Arabidopsis thaliana: one gene and its partners. The protein of the gene in region 1 interacts with the protein of each later gene in a pairwise test. Each region holds a gene or a part of one and is shown on either strand. Other genes may lie near its edges.

Evidence for each region. The genes of interacting proteins can lie anywhere in the genome.
Region 2: the proteins of AT4G21570 (region 1) and RABH1c interact in a protein complementation assay, tested with the Arabidopsis thaliana proteins (one large-scale study listed by BioGRID).
Region 3: the proteins of AT4G21570 (region 1) and AT5G42420 interact in a protein complementation assay, tested with the Arabidopsis thaliana proteins (one large-scale study listed by BioGRID).

What each region holds. Positions count from the first base shown.
Region 1 is NC_003075.7:11,470,300-11,474,888, reverse strand, and holds AT4G21570 (organic solute transporter ostalpha protein (DUF300)), read left to right. Parts: upstream 1-1,867; 5' UTR 1,868-2,153; intron 2,154-2,613; 5' UTR 2,614-2,619; coding exon 2,620-2,886; intron 2,887-2,969; coding exon 2,970-3,092; intron 3,093-3,178; coding exon 3,179-3,763; 3' UTR 3,764-4,054; downstream 4,055-4,589.
Region 2 is NC_003075.7:18,504,075-18,508,247, forward strand, and holds RABH1c (RAB GTPase homolog H1C), read left to right. Parts: upstream 1-1,844; 5' UTR 1,845-2,037; coding exon 2,038-2,154; intron 2,155-2,503; coding exon 2,504-2,574; intron 2,575-2,659; coding exon 2,660-2,748; intron 2,749-2,828; coding exon 2,829-2,943; intron 2,944-3,036; coding exon 3,037-3,127; intron 3,128-3,223; coding exon 3,224-3,385; 3' UTR 3,386-3,629; downstream 3,630-4,173. Other genes in the region: AT4G39870 (TLD-domain containing nucleolar protein), read left to right, coding at 115-201; AT4G39880 (Ribosomal protein L23/L15e family protein), read left to right, coding at 527-1,063. UniProt on the Arabidopsis thaliana protein: Protein transport. Regulator of membrane traffic from the Golgi apparatus towards the endoplasmic reticulum (ER).
Region 3 is NC_003076.8:16,967,060-16,971,071, forward strand, and holds AT5G42420 (Nucleotide-sugar transporter family protein), read left to right. Parts: upstream 1-1,595; 5' UTR 1,596-1,759; coding exon 1,760-1,898; intron 1,899-1,984; coding exon 1,985-2,169; intron 2,170-2,280; coding exon 2,281-2,481; intron 2,482-2,568; coding exon 2,569-2,730; intron 2,731-2,800; coding exon 2,801-3,166; 3' UTR 3,167-3,468; downstream 3,469-4,012. UniProt on the Arabidopsis thaliana protein: Nucleotide-sugar transporter that transports UDP-rhamnose or UDP-galactose and UMP in a strict counter-exchange mode.

The sequences.
Region 1 (4,589 bases):
TCAAATTTGTGGTAGACGTGTAAGTTTTATTTACAACATTTTATTATTATTTGTTGTTTTATGTTAACTTAATACTTTCTCTTTTCGTTTTCTATTTTCTAGTCATATGGAAAGGATGATATTTACAAATGCCAAAGTGGCAGCAGCGGTAGCAAATTATTTGCCCGATGTGCTTTTTATTTCACTTCGGAGGACTATCTCTCCATTTCGTCACATTAAGTACGTTTTGTTTCGTAAATTACTTATCAATTAAATTTATATATTAATTTGTTTACAATATTCTTGGAATGCCTTTACTCAGAGATATCATACGATATTTGATTTTGGGCACCGCCAAATCGGATTTTCTCTCGCCACTTCCAATTACGACGACCTGGACCACGAAGACGACGTAGACAACGAGGACGACGAGGACAGTGTGGACGACGTGGAAAGACTCGTTCACTCATCAACATTAAGCTTTGTTTTTTTCGGTAAGAACTAATTAAGCTTTTATTTTTTTCTTTGATAATGAGAACTAATTAAGCTTTTAAGACCTTTCATGAGTGTGTAATATTTTATGAAATATCTTTATAAGATTTAACTGCTATTTTTTGTGTTTGCGTTTTTATGCATTTGACGTTAATCACATAAATTGTTTGTACGGTTTCGTAACATTTCAAAATGCTTAACATTAGAATCTTGTTTCATCGATCTTTTATTATAGTAACAAGCGATTGTTTTTTTTGTTTTGAGTACATTTGAAAGTAACGGAAACTTAGTAAAACGAATTCACGAAGAGAAAATGAAAAGTGATTAAGTCATCTCCTCAACAAGCGATTGTTATAAAGTAATAAAATTATTTAGATGAATTGGTTGTTTTAAAATAAAAGGTTGAAAATGTTGAATAACTATTTATTTTATTTTTACGATTTGAAATGAATAGGTTGGAAAATTGATTCAACTCATTCAACAAAAAAAAAAGAAAAATGAACAAATTATAAAAGAAACTTGTTCAACCATTTCATCTACTCTTTTGTAGATGAATGAGTTGAATAATGTTCAACTTGGTTTTGCTGAAAATGGTTGCATAGAGATGAAATAATTGGAAATTTTGAGTTGAAAAATAAAAGTTGAATATTATTCAACTCATTTCTCTGTGAAATAGAAGATATACAAGTTGAAAAAATTTCTTTATAATTAGTTTATTTTTCCAACTTTTTAAGTTGAAAGGGTTGAATCATTTTTCCAACTTATTCATCTTAAATGGTAAAAAAAATAGATAAATGCTCATTCAACTCTTTCAACTTCTTAATTTTAGGCAACCATTTGCACCTATTTTTCCAATCATTCAACTATATGTCATTCATTTGGAGCAATTATATTTCTTAAATCTATATATTTATTTTTATTTCTGCTATAATTCAAACTGTCAAACCATTACCAATAAGATGTGGAGCTAATTCAACATAAGTATATAAAGTATATGAAATGTATAGATCTTTCCACTTATTTTCAAATGATTAAAATTGTACATGGTGTTAGAGCCCGAACAAACCCAAGATAAATGAGCATAAAGATGATCTCACTTCTAAAACCATTTTTGAACCACCATTTCTACTGCATTGCCATTTTTCTTACCGCCTTTTTTTTTTATTTTGATTTTCATAACCGCTAAAAAACTTTTCACCACATCATTATATTATTTGGTCCAACCAAACCAATGGTCCAAGATGGTGCCTTTTTTTTTTGGGCTCAAAGATACAAATCCTCTCTTTTGATTTCTTCTCTCAGCCCATGACGTGTAATGAATGAAGAAAAAATCAATAACTTACATCACAATCATATATCAATTTCATGAATCCTTGAAACCAAATACATACCATACCGACCTCTGTTTAAAAGACTTATCTTTTCTCCAACAAATGCGACAAAACCGTGTGGACGAATCAGAGAGACACATGTATACCAATGCCGACTTCTTTTTATGCAATCGTAGCGTCTCTCTCACGTGGTAAACGCGTCGCCATTTTTATAATACGACCACGTTTGTGACTCCATTAATGGCGGTCTCATGCTCCCTCAATTCTTCATGATCTAACTACTAAGAGATCTGATTCACTTTCTTCACACTCTCCGAGTCTCATCTTCGCTTCTTCCCTAGCTCTTATCTGGTTAGTTCCTCTCTTTCTCTCTCTCTGGTTAGCTAATTTTGCTTTGTTCAGATTTACAGAGATTTTGCTTATCTAGCTTTGAATCAGTCTTGGGAACATAGACAAAATCAGAATTCGACCTTTCAAATTAATGGGTCTGATTGGGTTTATCGAGTTCATCACCCGTTTTCCCAGTCATCTATAAAGTTTGAGTTTTTAATTCGGTTATATACTCTGTTTTGATACGGAGATATCTAATTGCTCCAACCATTTAGCTTTCTAGATCTCATGAGATGTTTGCTTTTCATTGTACAGTTTAAATTAATGTTAAGCTAAAGAGTGAATTTTGATGTGGAGCTATTTGGCTGAATATAATGCTGAAACATTTGTGAAGATTTAGATGTTTGATTGATTAGAATTCTTGTGCAAAGTCTGATGGCTTCTTGATGCTAAAGAGTTATGTGTATTAATTTTGATGCAGGACACAATGATGGACCTAACGAAACTGAAGCCTCCACAGATCACTTTTTATTGCTCGGCGTTTTCCGTCTTGCTCACACTTCATTTCACGATACAGCTTGTATCGCAGCATCTCTTCCACTGGAAGAACCCTAAGGAACAAAAGGCTATACTCATCATTGTGCTTATGGCTCCTATCTACGCCGTTGTTTCCTTTATTGGTTTGTTAGAAGTCAAAGGAAGTGAAACCTTCTTCCTCTTTCTTGAATCCATCAAAGAATGCTACGAAGCTCTTGTGAGTATATTGTTTTATCGCTTGTGTTAGTATACAACATATTGTAGAGACGACACTTACCAATTTTTTTCGATATTTTGCAGGTCATTGCCAAATTCTTGGCATTGATGTATAGTTATCTAAACATATCTATGAGCAAAAACATTTTGCCTGATGGAATCAAAGGAAGAGAGATTCACCATTCTTTCCCAATGACTCTTTTTCAGGTTCGTCTCTATCTTCATTGCATGATTTCATCTAATATCTATTTGCTTCTTTACCCTTAAAAGCTTTGTGTCTATTGTTTTGACAGCCTCATGTAGTCCGTTTGGATCGTCACACTCTTAAACTTTTGAAATACTGGACATGGCAATTTGTGGTCATTCGACCCGTGTGCTCCACTTTGATGATAGCTTTACAGCTCATCGGGTTTTATCCTTCATGGTTGAGCTGGACATTCACTATCATTGTCAATTTCTCGGTTTCTCTGGCCTTGTATTCTCTTGTGATATTCTACCATGTGTTTGCTAAGGAGCTTGCTCCTCATAATCCACTCGCAAAGTTCCTCTGCATCAAAGGAATTGTCTTCTTTGTCTTTTGGCAGGTAATGTTTGCATTAATCAGTAAACCCCTCAAAACAAGATTTCTCATGTTTGGATATACTCATAAGATTCTTTTGATTCTGAAACTGCAGGGAATAGCACTAGACATACTGGTGGCAATGGGATTCATAAAATCTCACCATTTCTGGTTGGAGGTAGAACAAATCCAAGAAGCAATTCAGAATGTGTTGGTATGTCTTGAGATGGTTATCTTCGCTGCGGTTCAGAAACACGCTTATCATGCTGGTCCTTATAGCGGCGAGACCAAGAAGAAACTCGATAAAAAGACCGAATGATTTGGGCGTTAGAGTGGACATGGACTGGTTTTAAACCAGCCATTTTTATAGCCAATCTTTGGTGATCTTGTATGTTGTTATGTTGAGGAGAAAGATCTAAAGGTTTTGCTTTACAACTTTTGGTTTCCATGATTGGGGAAAAAAGAAACAATAAAGTTGAAAATTTAGATGATATGAACAATAATGTTAAAGCCACTACACTTTTCATCAAAAGAAGTAAAGAACACTACTCATATTAATATCTTTCCCGTATGCATGAAATGAAACTTTTTCACCATTGTTACTCTAGTCTTTGTTCAATTGTTGTAAAATCAGTTCAAATACTCAAATTCTTCTTACTTCTGTGACAAAATAAAACACTCGTTCTCATTGAGTAGTAAAATTCGAAAGTAATGTTGTTGAAATCTTAAAAAAAATCATCAAATTATTTTTCATGATTCTATCGTTCTGAATTTGTAACCAATCAAAAGCTCATTTATGTATGAAAATATTAAAATAATTTATTTGTGAAGATAAAAATTGGAGTAATGTATTAATTGAAGGAGGGTAAAAAAGTCGCACGTAATATACGGGAAAAGGCGTGCGAAAGGACTAAACACAAAAAGTCTCTGGATTGAATTGGTTTGGCTCTCTGCTCGAACGATTCTCTCTGATAACCCGATTGTCAACTCCACAGCCCACAGGTCAGATTATTTCCGATTTAGGGTTAATCGAGTTCTCGTTTTTCGAAATCGATCAAATTTATATTTAATTTAATTTGCGCGAGAATCGATGGTGATTGATTTGTTGTTGATCCAGACAGAGACAGAGTTCGTTGCCTTGCCTC
Region 2 (4,173 bases), 7.0 Mb from region 1:
AGTTAAATTTCATCCCTCTCCTTGAAAAATAAAAGCTTTATATTTCAATATTTTGCAACACCTTTTAACTGAAACAAGCAAACAAACACACCATTGGTTGATTGATTGTTGCAGCTATGGGGATTTGTGTATGGCTCAAAGTATGATGAGATTCTAGCTCACAGCAAAACAATGGAGCCTGGTCTTTGCAGATGGTCATGATCATTATAAAGAAAACCCAAATGAATTCAACTGAGATTCGTCTTTTTGTTGTTGTTGTTGTTGTTGTTGTATAAATCTGTAGTAAAAGAAATCTTGTTGTCTTGTAACTTGGCTAAAATCACATATATGTTACTCTCTCTCACTTGTAATGATGATTTTGAAATAACAAAATAAAACCACCTATTAGGCTCATTCGGCCCATTAAGGCCCATTAAAGCATATGTGTGTGTGAAGAGGGATTAATTTTAGTGGGGAAGAATCAAAGAAGAAAAACCCTTGCTACTGCTTTTCATTTCTGACCTAAAAGCTCAGCTCCGATTTGAAAATGGGGAGTAGATTGGGAGGACGAGTGGTTCATTTCGCGAATCTTCCGATTAAGCTTCTGATGCCTGCGAAGCTGACCAACATTCACGAATTCGCGTTGAAAACGATTCCTTCCGCGTCCAAGATCGAGATCAAGCGAGTCCTGGAGTCGCTCTACGGATTCGATGTGGAGAAGGTGAATACTTTAAACATGGATGGGAAGAAGAAGAAGCGTGGTGGTTTGTTGATAGCGAAAGCTGATTACAAGAAGGCTTACGTCACGCTACGTAGTCCATTGTCGATTTCTAGGGATTTGTTTCCGGTGAAGTATATCGAGGAAGATAGGAAGAGTAAAGTGAAAGGATCTAGCTTTGTTGAGGAAGAAGATGATAAGAAGAGTCATTGGCTTGATCGTAAGGAGAAGAGGGAGATTGGTGGTTATGGTAAAGGTAAAGGTCGTCGAGGTGGTGAAAGGGCTAACTCTCCGACGAGAGGTGGTGCTGCGGCGGCGGGGACGGCCAAGTTTCCATGGAGCAACATGAGATTTGTTGGTAAGTAGGGTTTATGAGCAGATTATGATCTGGGGTTTGTGTTTCTTTAGCTATCGGATTATTGATTTTGTTGTTTCTATTACTTGAGGTTTGTGTATTGAGAATCTGAATCATTGAAGCTCTCAGTGTTTCTGAGATTTGGCTAATAAATCTGAATCAAGATGTTTCCAATTGTTTGTAATCTTTCTCTTAGTGATCTCTGATTAGCTATATGATATTTGCTGCTCCCGAGTTCTAAAGCTTTTTTTCTTAATTGCAATCTATAAGAATGCTTAAGGGGATTAACTCTGGTGATGGTGCTTTGTTTGTCTGTTCAAGTTTTGAGAAACCTCTTATTAGTCTTATTGTTTGTGGATTTGGGGCTTATGTTCAAATGTTCGATCACATTACGCAGATGCAAAACGTATGATAAAATTGTGACAAATCACTACATTAGCCAATAAATATAGTCATCTCTGATCATCCCAAAAATCTCATCACTTTGTGGACTAGTAGCTTGGTGTTTACTAAATAATTGTTAAAATAATTGTTAGTTCAGATTTTGGTATTCATTACAGATTACAACTAGGCTACTACTCACCTAGTATCTTCACAAACTAACAAAAATTTGTTTGGCTTAAAGGTCTTTTTTTGGTTTAGGTTTTAATTAATCAAATAACGATTTAAAAGATTAATGAAGAAGACTTTGATCATAGAAATTTTAGAAAACATTCATCATTAAAAAATATTATTTTTTTTAAACACAGATACACCCAACCGCATCGACGCGCTTCTTATATAAAGTCTCCGCGGAAATCGTTGAATATATTTGGGCGCGTGGCGATTTTGTGAAGGTTGTCAAGTTTGTGTGCGACCGAGTCATCGTCGTCGTGCTCTCCTTCTTCTTCATCGTCGAGACCTAAGAAAGACGAGACTCTGATTCTTCTGATCTTTGAATCACACTTTTTCTTTTTTTCCTTCTTCTTCCAACGGAACGGAACATATGGCTTCGGTTTCACCTTTGGCAAAGTTTAAACTGGTGTTCTTAGGAGACCAATCTGTCGGAAAAACCAGCATCATCACTCGTTTCATGTATGACAAATTCGACACCACGTACCAGGTATTTACACAGATTCCTTTCACTTGTTTTGTTTATTCATTTAAATTCTTCTCTGCGACAACAAGTTTCTTTTGTTTTCGTTTTTTTATTGTTTGATCTGATTCATTATTTCCTATATTACGATTGTTCAGACGATTTCATCTCATATTGGTCCTAGATTACGTCGCTGATATCACTCTGGTTTTTCTTCAATGCATTTGTTTGATCACTCTGCTCTCTGTTTTTTTGGTTGATTTATCAATCTCTTCTTCTTATTATGATCAAGATCGATGATGCTAAGCACTGTTGCTTCTTTGCTTTCTTAGTTAGTCATTAAGCCTTTATTTGTGTTCTCTCTGACTCTCTGCAGCCTACCATTGGAATCGATTTTCTATCGAAAACAATGTACCTCGAAGATCGAACAGTTCGTTTGCAGCTATGGTGAGAACAATGTTACTTTTGCTCTTTACCTAAAAACTAACATGTTAATTTCAAAAGCAATAACAAAACAAGTTTTGATTGAAAGGGATACTGCTGGACAAGAAAGATTCAGGAGTCTAATCCCAAGTTACATCAGAGATTCTTCTGTTGCCATTGTTGTATACGATGTATCCAGTAAGTCCACCTTTGTTTCTCTCTTTGATTCACCTTCTTTTTTGTGTTCTTATGTGTTCAATCAATACTTTGTGTTGCAGATAGGCAAACGTTTCTGAATACCTCGAAATGGATTGAGGATGTTCACAGAGAAAGAGGTCAAAGCAATGTTATCATCGTTCTTGTTGGAAACAAAACTGATCTTGTTGAAAAACGGTAAATACAAACATTAAGCAAAGAATTGGATGGGATGGACTATATAATTCTCTCTTGTCTTATATATGTCAATCTTGATATAATGAAAAACAGGCAAGTATCAATCAGTGAAGGAGAAGACAAGGGTAAAGAGTATGGAGTGATGTTCATTGAGACCAGTGCCAAAGAAAACTTCAACATTAAGGTATGACAAAACTTCAACAAAGAGTATGGAGTGATGTTCATTTGAGTGTTTCTTGTTGTCTGATTTCTAAACACACCAAATCTCTTCAATTTGCAGGCTTTGTTCCGGAAGATTGCTGCAGCTTTACCCGGGGTAGACTCATATTCATTGGCAACAAAATCAGATGACATGGTTGATGTGAATCTAAAGACCACTTCAAATTCATCACAAGGTGAGCAACAAGGAGGAGCAGGTGGTGGTGGAGGCTGTTCTTGTTGATTCAAAAATACATAATTCCAAAACTTGTGAAGCAAACAAAAGGGATCACGTTAGTTTTGTGGTTTTCATCTTATTAACTGACACAGAATATAAAACATCAAAGAGAAAAGGATTACTATTTTTACACATGTGAATCTTTTGCCTTGTTCTGTATTTGATCTGTTTTAGACATTGACGGTAGCAGAATACAAAACCTTATTCTGATCACCACCAAATGAACCAAAGGGAGAAGGATCAACTGTGGTGACAGCTTCCTTCCACTCAATTGTACCCCAAATCTCACCTTTCGAACGAAATCTCGGCACACCAAACATCCAATCTCTCATCATCATCATTACGCTCAAGCCAGAAGAGAACAATGTTCACACCAAAACTGTTCACTTGACTGATATTCTTAGAGCCTCCAAACCTTTAACTATCTTCCATTCTGATTCCTCAGACTCTTGCCAAAACACTCACCGGAAGCTCATATCGGTACCGTATAACAACAATTCCTCAACTACACAATAACTCAAAAGATGTGGCCTATTCGTTCTTCCCCATTTACCATCACTGGGAGAGTAATAAACACTTCCTTCAAACCATTTCACTCCGTAAACCTTGTCTTCCTTAACAAGGCTTCCATTGGCGTTTGTTTTGGCCACTACGATTATCGGCGGGAAGGTTTTGTTGTTTCTTCTCTTCTTGGAAAACGAAAAACGTTATCCTTTATTTGTTCTTCTCTTGTTTTACTTTTTTATTGAGCCTTCAAACATTCGTTAGTGTTATCAACTCAATGAAACTTGTAA
Region 3 (4,012 bases), on another chromosome or scaffold:
CAAAAGTCGAAGATAATGTTTTCTTATGTTCACCAAAAAACTTACAAAACTAACTCTCGAGAAAATCTAAATTTTCTTTTGAAGTGTGGTTTATATATGTATATATATTTTTATATTTTTTTGGAAAAGATTAATAATATTTAATCAGTATAGAAGTTCTGCTTAGACTCATTAATATTTAATATGTTAACTCATTATAAGTTTACAACTCAACTCATTGAATTGATGAAACCATTTGATCTAATAACTCATTTGGTTGTAAGCTTCTATAGTTATTCTTATATAAGTCTGAAAAAATATTATAGTTGTATTTTTGGATATCTAAGGAATTAAGAAAATTGATAATGTCTCACCTCTACGATAATTCCTTTTCATCTTTCCGTTTTGTTTTTGTATTATCGATTTATGTTCTTTAATTATTATTATTTTAAAAAAACTTCTCCAGTCATCTTTTTATTTATCAGTTACATTATCGTAAATATTCATGCTTCTTACATGAAAAAACGAAATATTTTAATGTGATCTCCACTAGTTCATGAAGAAAATGCAAAGTTATGACTTACTTTTATGGATTGGCTGCTTAAACAAAAAGTTACCAACAGACTTTGACTTTGACTTTGCGTAATGCAAAAATAACGGCAGCATGAAAAGAGGTTCCCTTCGCCTCATAATCTGCCTAAGTTACTGGTCAACAAGCACTACTATATATTTGTGTCATTTTCTTTTATTTGTGTTGTTTTTTATATATAGTAAATTATAAACATATTAATTATTCCTACTTTCCTTAGAAATGATGCATGGTGAAAAATTTAAAAATATTCATATACAAAAAAGAGAGGGAAAATAATATTATCAGTTCGATAAATATGTATTGGTTTTTATGAAAATAATAGTTTTATTCAAAATATTAGCTAAAAAGTACTCTCACACAGTTGGTTTGTTTCATAGTTATAGAATTTATTATGTGACACAAAAAGTTCAAAGAATATTAAAAATATTTGGAAATTATGCAAATAAACAAATATTTGTAATTATATTATTTACATAACACAATCTTATGATATTTATTTTAGAATATGTTTACATTATTTTATCCATATATATGTGTCAAATACGATATCATTTTTGGACATTTACATTTGTTGTAAATTAAATTGTATAGAGTTAATAAAAAAAATCAACAGATAATTTTGATTAAGGTTTGTGAATAATTTAGTCAATTCAATGCAAAATTCAAGATTTATTTGTCTAATCCACTAATTGAGAGTTTCTTTAGTCATAAATAAATAAATTGAAAATCTTCAAATCACGAAATATTTTTTAAAGATTTAATTTACAGAAAATCTCAAATCTCATTACAAAAAATCGTTAAAATCAAAATTTGCAACAACTAAAAAAATTCGATTATCAATTTTGTCATAATACTCATCTACAACTTTTGTCACTACATAATCAATTATTTTCTTGTCCAAAAAAAAAACATAATCAATGATTTTCTTAATGTAATTGTAATGATGAATTTTGATGCGGGTAAAGTAAAAACTAAATCTACTTACACAACTTCCTTTTTAAAAGTATTTATTTCAGATTTGAGATTTGTCAGATATTTTTCTCAACGTGAAAGAGAGAAAAGAGAATCTCTCAGAAGGTGAGCCTCCAACAAAGCGTGAATCTCTCTTTCTCTCTCTATCTCTCTATCTCCGAGATCGCATCACCGGAAATCTCCTTCTACGGTGGTGGTGGTGACAGTTGACCAGAGATGGCGGCGGAGAATGAGAGAAAATCTCCTTCAGCAGTCTCCGATATGGGAGCTTGGGCAATGAATGTGATAAGCTCCGTTGGAATCATCATGGCGAATAAACAACTTATGTCCTCTTCTGGATTCGCATTTAGTTTCGGTTCGTCTTCTTCCTCCGATCTCTCACTCTTTTTAATCAATTTCGCTTTTGAGATCTGATGATTTTTCCGATCTCTGTTTTCTCAGCTACAACTCTCACCGGTTTCCACTTCGCTTTAACCGCATTGGTCGGTATGGTATCAAACGCTACCGGATTCTCTGCTTCGAAGCATGTACCTATGTGGGAGCTTATTTGGTTCTCCATTGTCGCTAATGTCTCTATTGCTGCTATGAACTTCAGTCTCATGCTCAATTCCGTTGGCTTCTACCAAGTAATTCATCTCGATCTCGATCTTGAGCATATAGAATCAAATTGCTTTGATTTGAGCATATATAGACTTTGATTTTGGTTTAGTGGATTCACATTTTTTTGTGTTGATTAGATCTCGAAGCTGAGCATGATTCCTGTGGTATGTGTAATGGAATGGATTCTACATAGCAAGAGATACTCAAGAGAAGTGAAAATATCTGTTGTGGTTGTTGTTGTTGGTGTTGGTATTTGTACTGTGACTGATGTTAAAGTTAATGCCAAAGGTTTTATCTGTGCTTGTGTTGCGATTTTCTCGTCATCCTTGCAGCAAATTGTAAGTCTTTTTGTTTGGTGATTTGGTTTTGAAGCTTGTGGAATTCAAATCTGATCAATTGGTGTTTTTTCCTTCTGTGTTGCTTAGTTAATAGGTTCTCTACAGAAGAAATATTCAATTGGGTCCTTTGAGTTGTTGAGTAAAACAGCGCCGATTCAAGCTTTTTCGCTTCTTGTTGTCGGTCCTTTAGTTGATTATCTTCTTAGTGGGAAGTTCATTATGAAGTATAATATGTCTTCCGGTTGCTTTGTAAGTATCTCTCTTCATGGCTCTGCTAGTATTGTTATGTTATCATTGGCTAATGTTCTACAATTTGCAGCTATTCATTCTTCTCTCATGTGGTCTAGCTGTGTTCTGCAACATAAGCCAGTACCTTTGCATCGGGCGGTTTTCAGCAGTATCGTTCCAAGTTATTGGTCACATGAAAACCGTCTGTATCCTCACGCTTGGATGGCTCCTATTTGATTCTGCAATGACTTTCAAAAACGTAGCGGGGATGATTGTTGCGATTGTTGGGATGGTAATCTATAGTTGGGCAATGGAATTGGAGAAACAGTCGATTATTGCAGCAAAGGCTTTAAACAGTGTGAAACATAGCTTAACAGAGGAAGAGTTTGAACTTTTGAAGGAAGGTGTAGAAACTACACAATCAAAAGATGTTGAACTTGGCCGCACAAAAGATTAGAGACAGATGGATAGAGAAAGAAACATAGTCTTCAGGTACAATTTGTTCTGTTATAATTTTTGTATGTTTTGTGTTATCTAAACCAAGAGATCGGATCCTCGGAGATTAGTGTCTAGGCTTCGATCTAAAGTTTCCTTGGTTATACAAATGTTTTGTGTTATTTATATCTTTTTACCCAATTCCATGGAAATAACTTCAATGACCACATGTTCTTGTTTTACGTAGCACTCAAAGAGTATATTCCTTTATTTATCTTATAGAATATGACATCAAATGTAGAGTATATTCCATTTGATAAAACATTCATATGGATAGTGAAAACAAGAATACTGGAGAAGACTTAAAAGAACTTCTGATAAAAACATTCATATGCTCCCAAGTAATGTGAAAATTGTAAATGAGAAGGGGAAAAATGTTATTTAATACCTGAACTTTCAAAAAGTGGCCAAATTAACCGTGAATTTTTGAAATGGCCGTTTTATACCTCAACAAAAAGTTGACTTCTAATTTAACCTATAAGTTATCGTTGACCCGGCCAAATCGACTCACCATTAACACTTCTTAACAGCTCTCCTAACAGCGTAACTAACAACTGTTTTTGTCCTTAAACCAACAATAACGGCTGTTAGGCCATGTTTTGTAACGGCTGTTAGGAGCGCTGTTAAGGAGTGTTAACGGTGAGTCTATTTGGCCGGGTCAACGACAAATTATAGGTTAAATTAGAAGTCAACGATAAATTATAGGTTAAATTAGAAGTCAACTTTTTGTTGAGGTATAAAACGACCATTTCAAGAGTTCACGGTTAATTTGGCCATTTTTTGAAAGTTCAGGTATTAAATAACATTT